Linked DNA regions of Sus scrofa. The protein of the gene in region 2 purifies or fractionates together with the protein of the main gene of each other region. This does not show direct contact. Links are inferred from orthologs where the notes say so. Each region holds a gene or a part of one and is shown on either strand. Other genes may lie near its edges.

What was found.
Region 1: the proteins of UTRN (region 2) and DTNB purify together in Homo sapiens (affinity purification with mass spectrometry; 3 studies listed by BioGRID and IntAct, with this or other methods). This does not show direct contact. The link is inferred for Sus scrofa from reciprocal best matches to the Homo sapiens genes UTRN and DTNB.
Region 3: the proteins of UTRN (region 2) and SNTB1 purify together in Homo sapiens (affinity purification with mass spectrometry; 3 studies listed by BioGRID and IntAct, with this or other methods). This does not show direct contact. The link is inferred for Sus scrofa from reciprocal best matches to the Homo sapiens genes UTRN and SNTB1.
Region 4: the proteins of UTRN (region 2) and SNTB2 purify together in Homo sapiens (affinity purification with mass spectrometry; 4 studies listed by BioGRID and IntAct, with this or other methods). This does not show direct contact. The link is inferred for Sus scrofa from reciprocal best matches to the Homo sapiens genes UTRN and SNTB2.
Region 5: the proteins of UTRN (region 2) and DTNA purify together in Homo sapiens (affinity purification with mass spectrometry; 3 studies listed by BioGRID and IntAct, with this or other methods). This does not show direct contact. The link is inferred for Sus scrofa from reciprocal best matches to the Homo sapiens genes UTRN and DTNA.
Region 6: the proteins of UTRN (region 2) and MARK2 purify together in Homo sapiens (affinity purification with mass spectrometry; 4 studies listed by BioGRID and IntAct, with this or other methods). This does not show direct contact. The link is inferred for Sus scrofa from reciprocal best matches to the Homo sapiens genes UTRN and MARK2.

What each region holds. Positions count from the first base shown.
Region 1 is NC_010445.4:113,466,525-113,470,251, reverse strand, and holds part of DTNB (dystrobrevin beta), read right to left. Parts: intron 3,594-3,727; coding exon 3,434-3,593; exon of another isoform or gene 2,617-3,433; coding exon 2,527-2,616; exon of another isoform or gene 2,251-2,526; coding exon of another isoform or gene 2,117-2,250; exon of another isoform or gene 294-2,116; coding exon 182-293; exon of another isoform or gene 1-181.
Region 2 is NC_010443.5:20,984,491-20,988,915, forward strand, and holds the start of UTRN (utrophin), read right to left. Parts: upstream 3,025-4,425; 5' UTR 1,849-3,024; coding exon 1,755-1,848; intron 1-1,754.
Region 3 is NC_010446.5:18,515,572-18,519,298, reverse strand, and holds part of SNTB1 (beta-1-syntrophin), read right to left. Parts: intron 1,544-3,727; coding exon 1,353-1,543; intron 1-1,352. UniProt on the Homo sapiens protein: Adapter protein that binds to and probably organizes the subcellular localization of a variety of membrane proteins. May link various receptors to the actin cytoskeleton and the dystrophin glycoprotein complex.
Region 4 is NC_010448.4:17,680,523-17,684,249, reverse strand, and holds part of SNTB2 (beta-2-syntrophin), read left to right. Parts: exon of another isoform or gene 1-402; intron 403-941; coding exon 942-1,126; intron 1,127-2,261; coding exon 2,262-2,354; 3' UTR 2,355-3,727. UniProt on the Homo sapiens protein: Adapter protein that binds to and probably organizes the subcellular localization of a variety of membrane proteins. May link various receptors to the actin cytoskeleton and the dystrophin glycoprotein complex.
Region 5 is NC_010448.4:118,672,055-118,675,781, reverse strand, and holds part of DTNA (dystrobrevin alpha), read right to left. Parts: intron 1,466-3,727; coding exon 1,360-1,465; intron 1-1,359. UniProt on the Homo sapiens protein: May be involved in the formation and stability of synapses as well as being involved in the clustering of nicotinic acetylcholine receptors.
Region 6 is NC_010444.4:8,153,147-8,156,677, forward strand, and holds the end of MARK2 (serine/threonine-protein kinase MARK2), read right to left. Parts: coding exon 3,513-3,531; intron 2,901-3,512; coding exon 2,540-2,900; 3' UTR 724-2,539; downstream 1-723. UniProt on the Homo sapiens protein: Serine/threonine-protein kinase. Involved in cell polarity and microtubule dynamics regulation. Phosphorylates CRTC2/TORC2, DCX, HDAC7, KIF13B, MAP2, MAP4 and RAB11FIP2. Phosphorylates the microtubule-associated protein MAPT/TAU.

The DNA.
Region 1 (3,727 bases), on a different chromosome or scaffold from region 2:
GGGGCCTGGAAACACTTGGCCACATCCCGGTGGGCACACGGGATGCTCGAGTGAAACCCACGTCACATGAAGACGGGCCAAAGGGACCAAACAGCTGCCTGAGCAGGAGGCCTGCGGGGGAGCCACGTGACATCCATCAGCTACCTGAAGGGCCAACCTGAAGAGGACGGGCCGAACTCACTCTGGGGATCTGGGGGGTGGAGTGAGGGTCACTTCGTCATGGCAAGTCAGAGTTCTGTCTCCAGGATTAGAAAGAACTTCCCAGGGATGGGAGCTGGTCATGAATGAGCTCACTGGAAATATTCAAACAGAGGACTTTTATACTGGGCAGCAAGCTGGATGAAATGACTTCGGAGGTCCTTTGCACATCTAAGAGCCCATTATTTGTGACAAAAATTCAAAAAAGATGAGGAGGGTGGGTAGAAACAGCATGTCCATGCTGTAGAGAATGCATGCACAGGCAGTGTGGGTGTCTCATCCCACCTCACAGCAGCCTCGACAGTGACAGGGACACTGGGCTGGTGTCAGGCAAGGCTCTTGCCCTCGCTCAGAACCTGGCCGCCTGGCACCTGAATGAAAGGAGTTCACATCTGTCTGACAGGGACACTGGCTGCGGCCCTAGTCCACGGCCGCCTATGGACTCTGGGGCTCGGGAAGCGGGGCATCCGAGAGGGGCCCTCGCGGGACGGCAGACCTGACACCTCATCCTGTGCTTCAGCGTCACGTTCAGACCTCAGCTCCAGGACCAGCTCTGCCCCTTCAAGCTGCACACCCTTAGGCCAAGCACCACCTTTCCACAGCAAGGGGAGGGGACAGCAGGATGCGTAAAACGGTCCTTTCTACCGGAGAGATGGCTGGGCACCCTCACACTCACTTTCTCCGAAGCTGTTTGGGCTCTACGTACTTCGCATTTAAGGATGTCTAGTTACTTCGCGAACCAGTGTGACAAGCTCATGAACCACTTATTTTGCACAAACCCTAATAGGTGGCCATGAGGCACGTGTGCTTCATTTCCGAGGCCTGAAATTCCCTAAGAAATTCCCTCCAAAAGTGGGATTTCTGGCGTCTGTGGGGAGCTATTTAAGGGAAGGGACTTTCTAATCACCTATGAGGTCATCTCAAAGGCGGTCACCTCTCGTGTGTGCCTCTGTGTGTGTGTGTGTGTGTGTGTGTGTGTGTGTGTGTGTGTGTGGAGGGGCAGTGCTTCTAAAGGGAACTGAGAAATGGTACTGGAGGGGAGATAGCATTATCATAACACTCCTTGCGGTCACCGCTCCTGTTTCTGTGTGTGTGTGTGTGTGTGTGTGTGTGTGTGTGTGTAGGGGCAGTGCTTCTAAAGGGAACTGAGAAATGGTACTGGAGCGGAGACAGTGTTATCATAACACTCCCTGCACAGGGGAACTGGCACCTTAACTGCCCTGGAAAACCAACCTAGGCCACACACTTACTCTCCTCCAAACCAAAACAGCAGATTTAAGAGTGAAGCTGTGGGTCAGACCTTGGCCTGGGCCCATGACAATACTAAAGGCACGTGATTCTCTTACAAAGGTCTGAGGAAACACCCAAAGCTGGCCTTCCTTAAGCGCATGGACGGATGATTACAACGTATGTGTCTGAATAAGGATATGTGTCTGCAAGGCCCACGGAAAAAACCCTGCTCTATGTCTTTATTTAATAATCTTGGTGAGCCAGTTCAAGGTATTTAAAAGCTCCGCATTAGGTGAAAAGCAACAAAAGCGGGCCATCGGTATGAGCGACCCACAGCACTTAGGAAGGGAGCCTGTTTATTTAAAATATGACACGGAAATCAGACCGCTGTAAAAAACATTAGTAAAATATCTGGCAGCTATGAAATTGATGGAATCATGGGGATTCTTAAAGATACGATGATATGGGAATGGCCTTCTCTTCTAGCCTTTTCTCTCCTTCCTGGGTTTTATGGATGGGGAAATTTGCCACAAGGTAAGGGTCTCTGGAAAATCACCGAAACAGCTCAGTGATAGAGAGAGAGTCATAGATAAGACTGAACACCAGGAATGAAGGAAGCAAGGGACTCAGGTCATGAACTTGGAGTGAAATCAGAGCCTCGCCATGGACAAAAGGAGAGAATAGGGTTTCAAAACCAAATCAAATAGGAGAGAGCAGAAAGGCAGCCGGGAGAAAGTCCAGAAGCTTTTGTGGCTGATTCGGTTCCAGTCATCCAGGAGAGCGCCCGAGGGAGCCAGCCGAGCAGGCCTAAGGAAAGAGCAGCTGTGGAGGAAGCACAGACGGAAGACAGGTTAAGCGAGGCCGGGCCTAACTGCGCCCAGACGGCGCTGCTTTGGAGGCTGAGATGTGTTTGCTCCGCAAGGCGCGCTCTTAGGAGAGACCCACGTGTGTGATCAGCTCTGGGTGACCCCGGGTGGGAGCCAGGTTCTCGGGGAGAAGACCTCCAGCGCTCCTGGAAGGCAAGAGGACCGTGGGCCGGGGCAGTGAGGAGGGCACGGAGGGGGCGGCGGGAGGCCGGGCGGGAGCTCTGGGCGTCACCTGAGTGGAGCTCCTTCACCAGGGATGACATGGTGTTGGTGATGGAGTCGGCAGCCACCAGCAGGTCATTGCGGAGGTTTCTCCTCGTACCTGGGGGGAGTCAGAGCAGATGGCAGTGCCAGGTGGTGGGTGGGGGAGCGAGCTGAGGGCCGGGCCTTGGGACACGGAATGCGTAAGGGGAGGTGGGCGGAGCAGCTCAGCGGGCCCCCGGGCACGGCAGGTGCACAGGCACCCAGGCCCATGGCCCTCCTCGCTCTCCTCCGCCGAAGAGCAGGGCCCTGCCAGCTCCGCGCATCTCAGCCACAGTCAAAAGAGGTGGATTCCAGAACAAACCCTGGGGCAGGACTTCCTCCCCAGAACCACCTCCCTGCTCTCGTCTCCACCCCAACAAGGCCTCCTGAGCGGCCTCGTCTTCCCCCAGCTACAGACACGGCTGGCTGTTGGCTCCGCGGACCAGAAGCCTTGAGCAAGGGCCTGTCTGCAGTTCCACTCTTCCACCTCCTGCTTGCTCGAAACCTTCCAGGCCGAGCACGTGACTTTGGGAATTCCTCCATCCAGTTCCTCCAGGCGAGGCAAAAAAGACAAGGCATTTCCCACAACTTGGCAAAAAGAGCACAGAAGCCCAGGCAGCCTGTACTTCACACACTCTCTCTCTCTCTCTCTCTCTCTCTCTCACACACACACACACACACACACACACACACACACACACAGCCTGCAGCCCTCCCGACGGGCGCCGCCCATGCGATGAGAAAGGGCCAGCGCCTGACTTATTTTTTACCATAGTGAAAATGCAGTCACTGAGAGCTAAGCACACAAAAGGAAAGAGACGGGAAGCCCTCAGTAGGAATCCTGTCCATGATTCCAACCCCTCCAGCTCTCCAGCACACTCTGCCCCCGAGCTCACCTTGGGCGAAGGCCTCCTGCATGTCCCCGCCGACGCCGCTCAGGGGGTCCTGCGGGCAGTGGGTGGGGGTGGAGCCAGCGGAGGCGGAGCGCACAGGCATCGGCAGCGGGCGGCCACCTCCATGCGTGGGCGATGTGTGCGGCGATGCCGTGGCCTGAGCCTGGGAGAATCAGAGATAAAACGTGTCATCTCAGGCACTTTACCTCCTTGAGGAAGGGGGAGCTCAGTCCTTTTTCTCAGGCAACCTGAGCCAGCCCTGGCCTTCAGTTCAGCGGTGAAAGCGCAGAACCATCA
Region 2 (4,425 bases):
TTTTTTTCCTCACATTATCATCCTCCATCATAAGTGACTAGATACTGTTCCCAGTGCTACACAGCAAGATCTCATTGCTAATCCATTCTCAAAGCAATAGTCTGCATCTATTAACCTCAAGCTCCCACTCCATCTCATTCCCTCCCTCTCCCCCAGAATTTATATTTAAAGCTTCAGTCTTCTCCTTCAACAGTCGGCTTATTATTTAAAGGTTTGTTTGTTTTTTCTTCTAATTCTCTGATTTCAACCACTGTAGTTACCTGAGACCCTCTGTAACAAGACAGTAAGATACAGAGTAGCAGGCGATAAAGTAAGACTATTCATGCTGTGGAAGGAAGAGGATTAAGTGAGAGTCAAGAGATATCGCTGAATGGACACAAGGCTGCGAGCCTGCTCCAGGACATGGGGTTTTAATTCAGGTCCCTGACAGGTATTTTAATTTTCTGCTGAGACCATATGGCTCTTTTACTAAGAGAGAAAAGTAATAGCCAAAGAAAAGAATTATAGCACACTGATCTCCTAGTATACTAAAGCTGCTAAGAAAATACGGGCTGTTCCAATCCTTTCACTTTATTTATTGATTGATTGATTATTTTTTTTTTTTTTTTTTTTTTTTTTTAGGGCTGCACCTGCATTATATGGAAGTTCCCAGTCTAGGGGTTGAATGGGAGCTGTAGCCGCCTCCCTACACCACAGCCATAGCAACTCGGGATCCAAGCCGTGTCTGCAACCTACACCCACAGCTCACAGCAAGGCAGGATCCTTAACCCACTAAGCGAGGCCAGGGATCAAGCCCACATCCTCATGGATACTAGTCGGGCCCGTTAGCACTGAGCCACAACGGGAACTCCTCCTCTCACTTTAAATGTGGTCCAGAGTGAGGATGCCTACCAGTATCTACCACCTCATTCATACGGCGTTAGAAAGGAAAACATCCACAGGGCAAGATGTAATTCCAAAGGAAAGAAAACAATTAAAAAAAAAAATTCTAACCAGCCTAAAAGTTTTCCCTTAGTAACAATATTCAAGCATGACATATGAGATCAAATAATACTCATCACTTGAGATTTTTTTCTTCCTCTGAAAGCTTATATGACCAGTACATAAAAAGATAGATTAAACCAGATATGGACGTCTGACCCGATCAGAAAAACTACGTCACCCTGGAAATAAACTCCAGTGACAGAAAAGTACGTAACCACAGCCAATGTGAAGTTTTGCATCTGCGTTTCCTCTGAGCAAGGCTCTGTTCAAACAAATTCCCCTCCATTTACCGCCCCCCGCCCCAGTACAAATTCCCCCATTAAGAGCTCCGAACTACCTATTTTTAAAAGTAAAATCAAGTCCAATATGGGATGAGCACACCACCACACAACAGCACAAAGGAAACTTTCTAGGACAGTAAACAGTCAACACATCATAAGCTAGTCTGAAAGCACATGAAGCATATGTGTCACAACAGATAGATGGTTCCCTGACTGCTTTTTCCTAAGAAGCCAAGAACTGGAAAATGATCACATTCTCGAGAGAAGGATGAAGCTGACAGCCCGGGTCTCCACTTTTCTGGGTTTACAATGGCGTCAGGAAGGACAGGACGGGCTGCTCCCATCCCCGGCCAGCTCCTGCCTTCTGCAGCTCTGTTACCCAGACGCAGGGTTCAGGAGGTGACCGAGAGAACCCTGTCTTTGCTGACGTCCTCTGTGCAAAACCTCATGGACAGGAGGGCCGGGGGCCGGGCAAGGTGACAAACTTACCTGGTAAAGGCTTGCCTGCCTGGCGAGCACCAGGCCCTGGCAAATCAAATCTGCATTTCTTCCCACGGAAGGTGGTGACTGCCGGGCCGCTCATTACCTATATTGGCTTAAAGGAGGAGGAAAAGAGGCAGAGGAAGTGGATTTTAACAAAAGCAGCTTTCGAACTGCACACTGGGATGTCCTGTTTTGGGGTGGCTTTTATTTTTCCCATGAGAGGATCTGACTAAACCTAACTGAATCTCTTCTAAATACCAGACAGGAAGTTACACTTAGCAGTTAGTGAAAACTCCTTAGGGTCATTTTTGGCGGCTGCTGTTTTAATTGTCACAGCGAAGGGCCTTTGAATGTTTCTGATCTACTACAAAGAGATTTATAACTTTGCTTCCTGTTTTGACAGCGTCAGCTGGTAAGGGACGCCTCCACCCACCTCCTCACCACTAGGTGTATAAATAGAGGCGCTTGCCGTAGGTATAGGACTGGGCCAAGAGTCTAGTTACATATTAACTCTACTTCAAAGAATAAACTGGATCTGTTATTTCACCTTAATATGCATATAAGTCTTGGGAAAATGAAACTCAAAAGGATTTCTTAATTCCTTAGAAATTGCCAGTATGGAAAAAATAAACGCAACCACATAGAATAAGGTGATGAGAGGTGACAGTTTTGACTCATACTTTCCAGCCTATTCTCTCTTGTGTATTTGCCTTGCTCTTTTGCTATCTCTCATGTAGATGCCAACCACACACATACAACCAGCAAGGAAAATCATTACCCATATTACCTCCCATCTGCTTTCTTATTCCTGTTCTAAAGCTTTTTCTCCCCTGTTCTCACATTGAAACTTTCCACTTACAAGCCAAGATTTTCATAAAATATGTACCCTTGTTAGGATACACACAGACTTAAATCAGAAGGCATCTCTCTTCCTGCTACTGACTGAGATACAGAAAAGAGAACTAGTCATTTCTTGTCTCACCCTAGTCTCCTCCTTATCTCTGTATTTCTCTAGACTAGCAGCCATCTGACAGGCAAAATACTCTCTCTAAGCCTCAATCTCCAAACCTGTAAAATGGGAATAGTGACCTCGCCTGTCTCCTGGGATGTTGTAAGGACAGTGAGGTGAAAAGCACGATGATACACATTATGTCACAAAGTCAAAGCCTGATTTTTTTGTTTGGTTTTTTGGTAACAGCTTTATTGAGATATACTCAATATGCAATTAACACATTTAAAGTGTTGGAGTTCCCCTCATGGCTCAGTGGTTAACAAATCCAACTGGGAACCATGAGGTTTCGGGTTCGATCCCTGGCCTCGCTCAGTGGGTTAAGCATCTGGCGTTGCCGTGAGTTGTGGTGTAGGTTGCAGACCCGGCTCAGATCCCAAATTACTGTGGCTGTGGTGTAGGCCGGCAGCTACAGCTTGGTTTCGACCCCTAGCCTGGAAACCTCCATATGCCGGAGGAGCAGCCCTAGAAAAGGCAAAAAGACAAAAAATAAAATAAAAAATAAAGTGTATAACACAGTGGTTATTGGTGTATTTGTAGAGTGGTATATCCATCACCACAATCAATTTTGGAACATTTTCATCACCCCAAAATGCACTAGTCAACGATGGAAATCTAAGCAGTCTAGAGATCTGCCTCTCCTGAGCATTCTGCAGAAATAAAATCATTCAATCCATGGTCTTTTACAACTGACTTCCTTCACTTAGCATAATGTTTTCAAAGTTCATCCACGTTGTCATACGCGTCAGTACTTCATTTCTTTTTATGGCTGAATAATCTTCCATTATCTGAATACCCTACATTTTATTTATTCTCTTAGCAGTTGACGGAACTTGGGTTGCTTCTACCTTTCAGCTAATATGAATAATGTCGCTCTGAGCTTTCGTGTACAAGTTTTTATGTTGACATATGTCTTCATTTTTCTTGAGTATATACACCCAGGAGTAGCACTGCTAGGTCGTATAGTAACTCTACGGCCAATTTCTGGAAGAACTGCCAGACAGTTTTCCACAGTGTTGCACCATCGTACATTCCCACTAACAATGTATAAAGGTTCTAGTTCTCTACAGACTCACAACATGGACTGTGATCTGTTTTTTTGACTATAGCCACCCTAGTGAGGGTGAAGCAACAACTCATCATGGTCTGGTATCATTTCCCTGATGGTTATCCAAGTCCAATTTGTATCAGCATCCCAAAAATGTCTCCATTTTTATAGGCACGGCTAAATGCTCAAAACACACAACAACCAGTAAGACATGGGTACCACTTAATCAGAACAGATACCAGCTATAGTGCTGAAGCAAGATCTGAAAGGTGTTTAGCTTTACCAGCAGCAACGTTCCCATATGTATGAAAGACTTTCAACATTTAAAACTGGTATAAAGTAGTATGCCAGCTAAATACTGCTAGTCCTCATCTCCACCGAGAGGCTGCTAAAGCAGCTGTCTCTTCTTCCTCTTCCAAAGGGCTGCTTAAGAAAAGTTATAAGAAAATTAAATTCTCAATGAGCATGACCTTTTAATCTTTATATCAGTTATTTCCACCTATCTTGCTATATGTGTCTTCTTCCTAAATAGAAAGTCTCAATTAAAGCAGCCTTTTATTAGTGAATAAACATAATTATTTACAGGGACGAGATTTTTTTTTTGCCTTTTTAGGGCTGCA
Region 3 (3,727 bases), on a different chromosome or scaffold from region 2:
ACGACTGGCTGGAAATTGTTCTCAGAAGGTGAGTTCAAATCACCTGTCAGCTGCCGGGCACCGACTTCATCGTGACAGCCTGCGATACCCGCAGGAAGAAATGTGGTACCACACTGGGGCTAGTGGTGTTGCAAGATCTTAAACGGGGGTGCTGAAACTTTGAGATTAAAGGCCCCTTTGCTCTTTTCAGCGTGGCCCTGACCCCTTCCTTCAGAGAGCGGGGACTGAGAGGAGGAGGTCTTGTGCAAGGCTAGTAGCTGAGGTGAAATGACTAGATCTTTAAAATTGCGATTGATCTCTGTATTTCATATAGCCCCCATCTCTGTTAGCAAATGTGAGCCAATAATTATTTGTTGACTAAGCCAGTGACTAGGAAGGACCTAAACAGAGACTAGTTGTTCCGAATCAAGTCCTCTTTGAAGTTCAACATTCCACGGCTTATATGAGATGCTGTGTCTTCCTGAGAATGACACTTGCCAGGAAATAGAATGTGCAGCTTCACTTTTCAGTGGAACTGAAATAACATAGTTTTGTTTTCTCGGCTGTGCCCATGGCACACCGAAGTTCCCCGACCAGGGATCGAACCCTTGCCAGAGCAGTTACCCAGGCCACAGTGACAGCACTGGATCCCCAACCTGCTGTGCCACAAGGGAACTCCTTCATTAGCGTTGGCAGTCACGATCACAGGAAATCATGATTATAAATACATGGGCAATTTGCATTGCTATGAGAAGTATAAATGTTACCTTAACTGAGCAACTGGCTGATTTTGTTGGACACATTTTGACATGCTCTCAAAACTCCTGGGCCCCTGTCTGGCCCTCTCTCCATTCCCCTAGGAGGGACCATTTTTGCTTGGTTTCCTCACTGCCCCTTTTGCTCTGCTCCTGGTCCAGCCCCAACCCCACTCCACCTCCACCCCGCCCTCTTCAAGGTCTCTGATCCTCTGAGAACTCCCAGCTGGCCAGGGCTTTGAGACCCTGCACTTTATACCCCTGCATGTCTGACACCTAGCACAATGCCCAGGTTAAAGTAGATGCTTGAGACCTTTAAACAGTTAAAGGTACCTTTTGAGGCTGGTGGGACTCTCTTTGAGAAGAACTTAAGGCTTTGTAAAGGATCCTTATCTTTGATTCACATATTTCTGTAGTATTCTGATGAAAAATGAGACCAAGGTACAGATCTGAAAAAATTAGATCTGATCACTGTTTTTCAAGGATTGAATATGACATGAACCTGTCTGAGTACTTTGTTAACAGTCAAATGCTAAATAAATATAAGCATTATGTTTGCAAGCAACGTGTGGTGCATGATGAAATACATGAAATCAAACTAAGGAAAAGTACACTTACGAGCTCTCCATCTTTGCCTCCAAAATCTAAATACAGCATCCTGATTCCATCATCTGAAGACATTTTCAGCTTTTCATAAGGAGCCTGTATGATTGTCTTGGGAAAGGCACCCTCCTGTGGTTCAGTGGTAACAGAAAATCCATTCTCATAATGGATGGTCAAACGGCACTCCTGGTTTTTGTAGGTACAAGCTGATAGAGACAGAGAAGGGACAAAATGTGAACAATGGAAGCCTGTCATTTCCCCAGGCACTTGACCTTCAAGTCTCCTCACTCTCAGGGCCCAGTCACAAACTTCTTTCTCAAGTTAAAAATTAATAATCAGGAGTTCCTGTTGTGGCTCAGTGGAAACAAATCTGACTAGTATCCATGAGGATGCGGGTTCTTCTCTCAGTGGGTCGGGGATCCAGCATTGCCGTGAGCTGTGGTATAGGTCGCAGATGCAGCTTGGATCTGGCGTTGCTGTGGCTGTGGCATAGACCAGCAGCTGCAGCTCCAACTGGACCCCTAACCTGGGAACTTCCATATGCCACGGGTGTGGCCATAAAAAAAACAAACAAAAAAAAACCCTTTAATCAAAAGAGTTCTGGAAAAGGTGATTAAGCATCAGGTTGGATTTTTTTGCCTCAGAAAACACCGCATTTAACAACCCCTGGCTAGTAAACTGCCTCTGGTCTTCATATGCCGCTGGAAACTCTTCAGGGAAACGAGGACATTTTCCTTGCTGGCTATGGGGCTCCAGAGGAGTGAAGGTAGTTGACTACTCTTTAAAGCTCAGCTCAGCTTTATACACCACACTGAATTTCACTTTACGACTCTTTGGAAGCAGGACCTTAGATTAATATAATAGGTTAAAAAAAAAAAAAAAAAAAGGAGTTCCTATCGTGGCCCAGCAGTTAACAAACCAGACTAGTATTCATGAAGATGGGGGTTCGGTCCCTGGCCTCGCTCAGTGGGTTAAGGATCCCGTGTTGCTGTGAGCTGTGGTTTAGGTCACAGACATGGCTCTGACCCCAAGTTGCTGTGGCTGTGGTGTAGACCAGCAGGTGTAGCTCTGATTTGACCCTAGCCTGGCAACTTCTGTATGCTGCATCTGTGGCCTATAAAGAAAAAAACAAAAAACAAAGCTCAGAGAGGTGAACATGTCATAACCCAGTGGTTTAGATTTCAAGAGTCAAGTTCTTTCCTCCACTCTGTCTCCTGCATCCTTCTCATACTCTGGTGCTCAGGCTAAGGAGGAAGGTGAAGAAGGACCTTGGCAGAGAGGCTCTCAGTAATAACTAGGGTGGGAGAGCCCTTCCGTCTGGGGGAAGAAATAGGGTGTCTCTCTGCTCACAGAATGAAGTGGGTAACTGGATACCCCTTCCTGCGACTTCTGCAGTCATCTTTTAACTTGTAAACTAAGGTTTGATATTTTGCAGAGGTGCATTCCCTAATAGGTCTATGAGCCCTTCTGGGCACAGCCCCATTGGCAACTCTTAAATAAGCCTCTCAGAAGAGCCCTGAATCTCCTCCACCCAGTCCAAGGACAACCAAAAGGTAACATAGCCTCGGCACTAATGTAGTTAATGGCTTCCCACCATGAATCCTCGATTTTGACACTTTTCATTTGTAACATCTGCAGAGTATGTGTGCACATGGGCTCTAAACATGTTTTCTTTACTCCCTTCCTCTGTGTTTGAACTTTAGAGCCAGGCCATCAGGCGGTCTGAATTAAATGATTGTGATGACTTTTCCTTCTAGTTGACCTCAAGTGGTATTTGTTGTGGCCTTTATATAATGGAATTGGTTATCTGAAGATATTCTTAATCTACACAGGAAAAATTGAAGACATTATCAAGTTAATTGAAGCGCTGATTAAAACATAAGCTTGTTTGCCCAACTCTCTGCGGGCATCTTTCCGTTTGAAACTGGGTTGCACCTTTGGTCATTTCCATAATTTCTTCACTCCCACCACCCAGCTAGCTCAGTCCACACAAACTCTTTGTTATTCTCCTCTGGCTGCTCTATCAACGGCCTCATTGTTTTCCTGATAAGTAGAGTTCAGCTTGTTGAGAAAAGGATTTTATGAAATTTGTGGAATGTAAACTAAGCCAAACCCCTTTGGTCATCTTCATTCTTTTCTAGAACACTCCTGAAGTTGTTGCAAGGAGTCTGGATTTCTCTGCTGTTTTGCACAGGACTTCATTAAATTTAGTTTTCAGGTGACTTGAGCCTTTTCTAACTCTCAGGTTCAAAACTCGTTTTTCTTGACATACAGAATAGGCATCAAAGAGAAGAGCTTCAGGGGCACTCCAAAAGATGTTTTCAACAGTGTTGGAAAATATTGGGGAGTACTCATTAGTTCCAGGATTATTTTATTTTATTTGTCTTTTT
Region 4 (3,727 bases), on a different chromosome or scaffold from region 2:
AGTTTTTTGGTCTCATCAATTCAGATAGATCTTTTGAATTTTATCTTTGATAGGACTGACGGACTGTGTGACTTCTCAAATACCAGCCACTCTATGCCACTGCCCCTAAAACGCATCTCTGCCTTTTCTTTGGTTGTTCTCCTTCTTTCCCACTTGAAACCTTCTGCCTGTTCCTCACTGCCTATCAAGTTTGACAATTTTTTAAGGCCTCTCTCAAGTCCCATCTCCTTCAGGAAACCTTTCCTTGACTTTGGCCTTACTCAGTTTGGTGTTTAGTCACGTCCTACACCCTCTACCTTAAGTGGTTAGGGATTTCATGTGTTTTTTGTTTTTTGTGTTTTTTTTTTGCCATTTCTTGGGCCGCTCTCACGGCATATGGAGGTTTCCAGGCTAGGGGTCAAATCGGAGCCATAGCCGCCGGCCTACGCCAGAGCCACAGCAACCCGGGATCCGAGCTGCATCTGCAACCTACACCACAGCTCATGGCAACGTTGGATCCTTAGCCCACTGAGCAAGGGCAGAGATCGAACCCGAAACCTCATGGTTCCTAGTCGGATCCGTTAACCACTGAGCCATGACGGGAACTCCCCAGGGATATCATGTTTACACCTCTCATTTATGAGGTCTTGGGAGCAGGAACCATGCTTCTTATTTCTCTAGGACCACACACAGTCAGCTGTCAGCACACGGATTCACTTGATACCCACTGAATTGAACTGAATCAGATCATTTGTCAAGGAAAGGGATGGTAATTTCTTCCTCATCTCAATCAAGATGTTGACTTGAGTGAGCAAAACTCATTTCAGGAGGTTCCAAATAGGTTAGGTATCACATGTTCTCAAGAAGATTCTTTTTCCCTTGTTGAAGTCAGAAGAGTCCTTTGTCACTTGCTAGCTGAAGTAGGAACTTTATTAATGATGGCTTTCACTTGTCTTCAACAGGCTGCACGTTAAATGGTCAAGAGGTAAGACTCACTGTCCACTATGAAAGTGGGTTCACTATCTCCAGGGAAAATGGAGGTTCCAGCAGCATACTGTACCGCTACCCCTTTGAAAGGCTGAAAATGTCTGCTGATGATGGCATCAGAAATCTGTATCTGGATTTTGGTGGCCCTGAGGGAGAGCTGGTAAGAATATTTCTGAAAAAAAACCTGTTTATTCTAATAGGTATTCTCTTTCTTTTGTATTGCTTATTACCTCTTGTATAGAAAATTATGGACTTATAGACTGATACTCCATTTCAAGCCAGAAAATTATTTTTCAGTGTTCAGAGATGCATTGGGTTTGGTTGGGTTTCCTTTTTTTCCCCCACATTAGGAAATCATTCCCTTCTTTAGAAGTTTTGTTTGAGGAGTTCCTACTGTGGCTCACCAGGTTAAGAACCCTACTTGGACCCATGAGGATGTGGGTTTAATCCCTGGCCTCTCTCAGAGGTTTAAAAGATCCGGCGTTGCCATGAGCTGTGGTGTAGGTTGCAGACGAGACTTGGATCTGTGCATTGCTGTGGCTGTGGAGTAGGCCAGCAGCTGCAGCTCTGATTTGACCCCTAGCCTGGGAACTTACACATGCCACGAGTGCAGCCTTAAAAAAAAAAAGACAAAAATAGGAGTTCCCGTCATGGCACATCGGAAACAAATCTGACTAGGAACCATGAGGTTGCGGGTTCAATCCCTGGCCTCAATCAGTGGGTTAAGGCTCAGGCGTTGCCATGAGCTGTGGTGTGGGTTGCAGACGTGGCTCAGATCTGGCGTTGCTGGGACTGTGGTGTAGGCCGGCAGCTGTAGTTCTGATTAGACCCCTAGCTTGGGAACCTCCCATATGCCGCAAGTGCGGCCCTAAAAAGACCAAAAAAAAAAATCATATGCATAGATGGTCACACCTCAACTGAATTCACTGTGGTTCCACCTGGAAAACATACTTACCATCAATGGTTTGCATATAGGATATTGCTCTTTCCTTTACATCCTCTCCCTTTAAGTTCTTCCCATCTGGCACGGTGGAATCTAGCACACCACCAATAGTATCCCAGTTGTGGATGTGAAATCTCACACTAGTGTTTAATTAATTATGACATGGAATACCCTTACTTCAGAGTACACTTCCATTTTCAGCACTAAATTCCCAAGAGTTGCCGTAAATCTGGCACGTTCTTTATCCAAGTTCTTTTTAAAAAGTAGAACATCATGTCCAAATTTGTTTATTTTGCATGTTTATTTATTAAAGTATCTGTATATAGTGATAATTATTGTTCTTTCTCCACAGACCATGGACCTGCACTCCTGTCCAAAGCCGATTGTATTTGTGTTGCACACATTCTTGTCGGCCAAAGTCACTCGCATGGGACTGCTTGTATGAGCAGCAAAAAAAAATCAGTAAATAAAGAGCCTTGAATGTCACAAGAAGTATCTCCACCTCAAAAAAAAAAAAAAAAAAAAAAAAAAAAAAGCACAAAAAGAACACTCTTTCCTCTCTCCTCTGGCACAGTGCCTTGACAAGGACCTGCAAATCACTGCTGAACTGTAACCATGTTTAAAGAAGAGCCTGCCTTTTACAAGCTACCTTGGCCAGAAATCCTAGGATTGGAATAAGCTCCAAAATGAAGCTGTTGATTTATTGTCTAGTTCCTAATGTTGTTTCTAAGTAATTAGGTTTTTTTTCCCCTGTTAAGAAGGGTGGCTCATTCTTTTTCTTTTTGGACATAATCTAACATCTAAGAGTTTAGGGTTTTTTTCCTTCCTCTTCCAGAAGGAATTGTTTCAGGCTTAGCCTTGATCTCTTGCTTAGGACACCTCTCTCTTCCCAGGTGCTAGTCTGCAACAGCCTGTCACTCGAGTTAGGCTATACATTTTGATCAAGTCTACTGTCCTTACTTACTCCTTCCACCCTAGGAAGTCCTTGAATTTGTCACCAAAGGCTTCCTCATCCATCCTGGCTCTCCCTGCATCTCCCCCGGCCGTTACTTCTGACCACATCACAAGCTTTGCCCCTCATAAATGCTAACTGCAGGACTTAGAACTTGTGAGATTTGATTTGCTTTGCCTTCCACACTCCCTTTCTAGTGGTGACCAACTTGAAAAGCAAGCTGGGAACCACTGCTTTGAAAGAAAAATTTTGCTTGTTTTAGGATTTTCTGATTTTATCTTTGGTAGGAGCCAGGGGATAAGATTTATTTTAAAAGAAAATCCTCATTTTAGCCTAAGCCATTTTTTATTGCTTACCAAATGTGCCTTTAGTTAGGGTTAGTGGAGCTTTATTAGTCACTCTTTGGATAACTGGATATCACTGCCATTCCAGGGAGATCAGCTATCCTAGTTTTGAGAAGTAGTCTTTGAGGTGGGTTTCCTTAGTGTGGTATCTTTTCTAGTTGGCAGATGTCTTTAAGGAAGATAAATCCTGGAGAGCCAGCTTGTTTAAAGCGTACACTTTGTCGGTGAAGCCATCTCTTCAGCACAAACATCACGTTCACGTCTCTTTGGGCCATGTGAGCCCACTCTGGGGTCTTGGCCCTGGCCCTCTCACTCTGTGGCAGCAGAGTAGCATCTATCAGCAGCTGCTAATTCAGTGCTGGCTCAGTGATGCATCCTACAATGGGCAGGGTGACGAGACCAAGGAACAGGTCCCTGGGCTTTGCTAAGCATCGCCAGATGTCATCATTAGGACATATCAGCAGTAAGAGTGCTGATTGTGTTGTACTGGAGAATCACAGTCAGCTTCTTTTTCCTAATTAT
Region 5 (3,727 bases), on a different chromosome or scaffold from region 2:
CTCTGCTCTTGCAGATGAATAAGAAGCACTTAAAAAAAATCTACGATTGGTAGTGATTATAGAGAAACTAGTAAGTTCATTCTTTAAATTGTCTTCATGAGCAGAACAGGATACATTTTTAACTTTAAGAGAGATAATAAGAAGAGATGCTAACTGTTCTAAATGGGTATTTAAAATTAGTTAACTTTAGGAGTTCCCTTGTGGCAAAGTGGGTTAAGAATGTGGCATTGTCACTGCAGCTGCTTGGGTTGCTACTGTGGTGAAGGTTTGATCCCTGGCCTGGGAACTTTCCTATGCTATGGGCATGGCCAATAAATAAAAATAAGCTAGGGAGTTCCTTTCGTGGCCCAGTGGTTAACTAACCAGACTAGGATCCATGAGAATGTGGGTTCCATCCCTGGCCTCTCTCAGTGGGTTAAGGATGCGGCATTACTGTGAGCTGTAGTGCAGAAGTCACAGATGTGGTTTGGATCTTGTGTTGCTGTGGCTGTGGTGTAGGCTGGCAGCTGCAGCTCCAATTTGACCCCTAGCCTGGGAACTTCTATATGCAACACCTATGGCCCTAAAAAAAAAAAAAAAAAAAAAAAAAAAAAAAAGCTAACTTTAATCCCATTGCATATTAAAGAAGTGTTCAGAAGTTAGGATTCCAGTAAGAGGAGATAAATTATTTTATTTTTAATGCTAGAGAATTCCCAGAGTTAAATTAAACAATAAATAAGAACATCTAAAGATCAGATGGAGGCACTGAATTGTTTTATGTTTAAATTTCTTTAAGTCTTGTTCTGAACTGTATTTCATATTGAAGTTTGGATATGCAAAAACGAATTACTTTTATTATATAAATACTTGCTTTTATTTTAAAAAGCACATTACTCATTTCTTTTATGTAACTACTACTGTTGAAAGCTTACAATTTGTAGCATAAGACTAAAGATTAGCAAAGTGCTATCATACAGTTTTGTTTTGTTTTGTTTTTCCTATCTCCTCTACCTGGTCGAGTGCCAGGAATACCAACAGTGAAGAAAGAGTCAATGCCAGGTATACCAACAGTGGAAGGTCACACCTAAAAAAATACTAGAAAATGTTATATTTCTTATTAAGATTCTTCTTCTGTTACAGCAAATATTTAAGCTATACCTGACTTGTGAGAGACAGACTGTGTGTGAGATTTAATAAGTTTTTAAAACAGTCCTAATTTTGCAATGCATCCATAAGGTCTTACTGATCAAAGAGAGAGGTTAGTTCTATAAAGACTCAGAACTATTCCCCAAAACAATGACCTTGGCTTTATAGCTAAAGACTTGATGGCCTAATTTCACTAATTAAAAAAATTGCCTTGGCCCAATAGTAACTACTCACCGTTTTCTACATTTGCCAGTCGATGCAGAAGGGGCAGCCAGACCAGACACTGTGGGGGAGGATCTGACATGAGCGTGTCCAAGAAACCATTTAAGGTGACTTTTTTCTGCATCAAAAAACCCATAAAAATTGAGAACAGAGAATAATCTTAATATACCTGCTATGTAAATATCATTTGAGATAGAAGAAACGAGACATTCAATTAACCCTCATACATCAAGAAACAGAGCTTGAAACTAGTTCCGAATTTAAAAGATTAATTGCTTTCTGTATTTAAGCATACATAGGACTGAATTATCTCCACTGAGCCCGAGTCAATATTATCACAAGGAGAAAAACCATTATGAGAGGATCATTTCCATACATGAAAATGATGAGGAAAGATGGAGAGTAGACGTTCTCTAAAACATTTTACCCAAATAGTGCATCATATAGCACATTCCACAATTCCCATATCAGTTGCTATTCTAAATTTGTGGAATAGCTTCCCTTTCAGACTTCCCCAACTTCCATAAGGACTATTTTGTGGTTAATGTGAATAGTTCTGCTGTACAAGATTAGGAGGGAATCCTGTTCAGAGGGAACCATCTTCCGTGTCAGAAAAGAATAGTCTAAATTAAAAAAAAATTTCCTTCTCTCCTTTCTTTATATTTCTTTTCTCACAATTCAGTCTGCTTCTGTGTCATTATCCTGGTGCTTTCTGATGTATAAAAGAAATGCAATTTATCTGTTTCTTTCGAAATGACAAAATTAAGAAGTTACAGTAATACTTCTTAAAATGATATTGTAACAGTATGACTAACAAAATCTTACATGCAAAAGCCACTATTTTATTTAAAATTTTGAATTAGAAGATCAAGGTGGATGGCATGGTTTTATATTTTTAGATGAGAAATCAGTATTGAAGTGTATTAAGCCTTTTAAAGGCTTAAACTTTACACTAATTATTCTACTTTGCAAATAATTTTATTAATTTTTTTTATCAGAAGATATTACAATTTTAGCTTTATCTCATAATACTAAATAACTTAAGCTTTTTATTGGGTTGTTATTAACATGATTATTAAGAGATAAATTATGTAAAGTATAAGCAACGAGACAGTATTTTTTTAAAAAGCTACTACATCATGTCTAAAATACTGCTGTCTTTCAAAACAATCACTTGGGATGGCTTTCTATGAAGCAATTAAAACAATTTTGGAATTTCCTCATTCAAACTGCTGTTACAGCCAGTATATGAAGCACAAAAACAAAAGCATCTTAATTTCTTGTATTTCCTCTTTTTGTACTTCACATGATTTTATCCATTTGACCATTCATCACACTAGCTAAAAATCACTCCTGGAAGTCAAAAGTGCTACTGTGATTTTCAACATATATAAAGTTCTCATCATCAAGAATATACAAAAGATTATTTAACATATAATTGCATTATATAATTATATAATACCTATAGGATATTTCAAAAGGAATTTTGAGCAAGAGCACTATCTTTATAATTCTGTTTGAATCTATAGATCCCATTAAAAAAGGAATTATTATTTTAAGTCTTATTAAAAAAGTCTTATTATTCCAGCTGACTTGTAATGAGAAATATTCTGGGGCATTAGTATCTTTCCTGAGGATTCCATGATGCACTACCTAAAATCAGTAAATGTACAAACAATTCCAGGGACAGAGTGGTCAGTTTGGGATTTAATGCAACAGGCCAGATGAGAGATGGTGATGAGGAAAGAAATCTGAGAACCTTCTAGAAAGGGAAATCAGTAGGACTTGGTGTTTGATGAAAAGTTCTGGGTGAAGAAGTTGTATAGAAGGAGGCTTAGGTGAATGATCCATTCTGATGTCACCAACTCAAAAGAGGGCATGCTTTAGTGGGGGCAGAGATCACACACCTATGCCAGGCTGGGGATGGGGGCATGGGAAGGGTCGGAGAGACTACCTGGGTGAGATTTCCCCTGGGGAAGGAGAGTTTGATACTTAGTGGATCAAACCATTCCATCTATTATTGAATGTGTGGATACATTATAAATGAACCCATGACCCACAGAGATGCCTGAGGCAGTTTTGACCTCTTATATCACCAAGTAAATGGGTAGATGAGGTTTATTAGCTGGACAGTAAATGCAGCTTTTCAGTGGATGCTATGCACTGATTCTAATTTAAGGTGTCCTTTTAGAGGACATAGTTTGGATATTTAAAAAATTGTAAACAAACCTTCAATTTATGGGTTTATAAATCTCCACTTTGCTGTGTTAGAGAATAGTTCTAGATATGTAGATTTTCCACATGACTGGAGAGGTAGAAACATGGATATAAACTGGCTATAAACTGGACACAAACTGGAGAGCCACCCAAACTAAGTGGC
Region 6 (3,531 bases), on a different chromosome or scaffold from region 2:
GGAAGACCCAGAGCCGCCTTCTGGCACAGCCTGCACCTGTGGGCTCTGCACGTGTTCCTGGCAGCCGAGCCTGTGTCCACCCGCTCCCAGCCAGGGTCTGGGGTCTTCTGAGCTGGCCCGAGGCTACTTTCTCTTCCTGGCTGGGTCTGGAACGGCTGCCTCCTCGCCTGCCAGGGCTTGGCCTTTGGGTCCTGCCCTTCGAGTATAGGGGGTAGTGACCATAGCTTGGGGAGCCGGGGAGAGGACAGTTAGGTGTCTTGGCTGTTCCTCCTCTTTCCCTTCTTTTAGCAATAAGTTTGGGGTGAGGTGGGAGGGTGTTGAAGGAGGGAGGTGGGCAGAGAGGCTCTTTGGGGCCTGACGGCAGCGGAGGCTGGAGAAGGGGCTCTTGTGTCTTCAGGGTCAGGTGGGAAGTGCTGAGGAGCTCTGAGGGTGCCCACTGCCCAAAAGCTTAGAGAAAGGGTTGGGAACATATGCAGACATGGGTTTATTTTTCAATGTTTTTAAAAAATAAATAAAACCTTCAAGCTCACTGAATCCTTTCTCTTTTAGTTTAAGTGTCCTGGACGTCGCTTCCTGTCTGTGCCATGAGGATGGGAGTGGGGAGGGCGCCCGCCCAGCACTGGCCTTTCCCCAGGCCCCAGACAGGAATCAAGGCAGGCGGGCTGGGCTGCCCATGGACACTGGGTCCCTGCCCAGCTGGGAGAAGAGACAGGAGGCAGCTCAGATTCCAAACATTCTCTTTATTACGTGTTTGATCCAGAGGAAAAACTAAGTGCAGGAAGGGGGGCTGGGTGGGGAGGGGCCACCTTGCCTGGGAGCCCCCCCCCAGCCACCACCCCCTTTGGGAGCCAAGCCTTGCCCTCCCGGCCCCTCGGAGCACCCGGGCTGTTCCATAGGGCAGGGGAGGGAGAGAGGGAGGGAGGGAGGGAGAGCCCTTGGTAGGAGCCGGAGCCCACAGTCGAGCCCACAGTCTTAGGGCTTGGGGCAGGAGGGCTGAGGTTGGCGGGGCCCCTTCCTGGGACCCAAGGGCTCAACTTGCCGGGGAGCCAGGCCTGGGAGTGGGGGTGATGAGTAGGGGTGGAGTCATCATAAATCAAAAAAAGAAAAAAAAAATAAAATAATAAAATAAAAAATAAAACCCATCACAAAAAAATGTACAACTCAGGTGAGGGTAGAGGCAGCCTCTGTTCAGGACCTCTCCCCCAATTTCTCAAGAACAGAGACAGCAGAGAAATAAATTAAGGGATGCAGCGGCTGCCACCAGCCAAGCGCCCATAACCAGCCACTCCCACGCTGGCTGCGGAGGTTAGCGAGCTGGGAGTCACTTGGCCTATCGGTCCCCCACCCCGCCGCCGAGAGCAGAGGCTCCCCGGCCCTGCTGCCCTATCCAGCCTCCCGCGGAGGCCCCGGGGCAGTGTCTCCTGAGAGGAGGGGTGACAGTGTGAGGAAGAAAAGGCAAGGCCAAGAGATGAGTGGTGAGGGAAGTCACTGCTATGGAACTAGCTGGTGCCCAGATTAATGCCAACGAAGGGGAGCAGTGGGGAGAGGAACGGCGTGGGGGGCTGTGCTTTCAGACAAAGGCTCTCCCAGAACGGAGAATGCCCAGCGTCCCTGTTCCGGAGACTAGCAGCCCAGGCGGCCCCCTGGGGGCCGAGGAGCCCATCTGCCCTGCAGTCCCCTCCCCTCTCCCAGCCCTGGGGTCAGCCCCGCCTTCTACCCAGGAGGGGGTGGGAGAAGATGGCACAGACTTTTTGAGGAGGGGAACAAAAGTCCCCACAGCAGCTTGTGGAAGGAAATGCCCAGCTCTGGGGAAGGAGGGGCAGAGGATACAGTGTGGAGGGAGGCCGGAGCCCCGCGCCCAGCCTGCCAGCCCCAGAGCAGCCGCCAGCCCCACGGCTTCAGGGCTGCGCGGCACCCCCACCCCCAGCCCCCCGCCGCCCAGGCCTCCAGCCCAGGGGCCTGAGGTCAGGGCAAGGCCACCTCTGGTGGTTTACTTGGAGGGGAAGGAGGAGAGGAGAGGGGAGAAGCCCAAAGTGGGCCTGGCGGAGGGCCTAACAGGGAACTCCACCACTCTTGCCTGAGAGTGTTCCAGCCCTGAGCCACCCTCCCGGGAAACCCCGCAGATCCAGTCTCGACTGTCCCAATGGGGCAGGGAGGAAAGGTGGCCGCTGGGATTTTTTTTTTTTTTCTTTTTTCTTTTTGGTAATAAAAAATTTCTTGGTTTAGGCGAAATACTCTGTGCAACCGCAGTACCGAGGGGGAGCCCCGCCCCCCACCCCTCCCTCCCCTTCCTTCGCCTCCTGCGGGAGAGAGGGGGGGAGGGGGACGATCTGGGCAGGGTAACCGTGGTGGGGGCGAGAACCATCTCCCGGCCCCCACAAACATGGAAGAAAAAACTGAGACGGGCGGGGAGGGGAGAAGTGCCAGCAGGGGAGACACACCAATCCATCTCTGCAGTCCGGCCCGGGCGGGCGGAGCGCCGGCCCCAGCAGCTAAGTCCAGCTGGCCGCCTCCTTCGCCCCCCACTCCTGGCAGCCTGTTAAAGCTTAAGCTCGTTGGCTATTTTGGAGGCAATGTTTTTGAAGGCCATGGAGGTGCCCGATATCCGCTTAAATCGAACACCGTTGAGAGAGAGCCGAGGCAGTTTGCACACCTCCATCTCCCACTGCACGAAGTTCTCGTGGCCCGGCGTGCCGTGCATGCACAGCAGCATGTACTTCTCGTGCAGCTCGCTCTGGCAGCTGTTTGCGTCCAGCACCTTGCGGATCTCCCGCATCATCTCGTTGGGCTCCATGGAGCTCGTGGTCTTCATGCTCCACGTGAAGCGAAGTGAGCGGGGCTTGGCCTCCCGAAACTCCTCCTTGTCTTTGTCGTTGCCGCCGCTGCCCACCACGTGAGGTCTGCGGAGAGGGCAGAGGCGGGCGTCAGGCGGGAGCTGGGGCGCCCCACCCATGGGAGAGCCCCCCTGGCACAAGGACCCTGAGACGGAGAGAAGAGCGGGAGGGTGCCAGGAGGCGGCGGTGCTGGAAGAGGGCGCCTCAGACCTGGCCCGGGGAGCGGAGGGAGGGGTGAGGAGGGTGCGCAGTCCTGCAGCCCCCCGGGGGGCGGGGGTGACGAGGTGACAGCTCCAGGCTTTCCTTTGTAGAGGGAGGGGCGGCGAAGAAAGGGGAGCACATGCTCCAAGCCCTGAGCAGTTCGCAGACTGGACAGCAAGAAGTGGCTGATTCGTGGGAAGGGGAGCTTGCCGACAGGGAAGGAGTCTGTACCTCCAAACCCCGGCCCAGGGCTCCTGCTTCCAGGACACACCAGATCTAAGGAGAAGGGCCCGCACCTACTGCAGCAGGGCGGGGGTGGGGGTGGGGTTCTCTGAGGAAAGGGAGACCCCCGAGAGGACGGGGGAGGCAGAAGCACAGGAGGAAGAGCCAGGTGGCAGAAGGACGAGAGGAGCAGGCGGCTCGTGGCAAGCCGGGTGGCCCCGGGCAGGGCCGGCGCTGGCTCCAGCCCTCTCTCACCTGAGCGTCTCCACTCGGT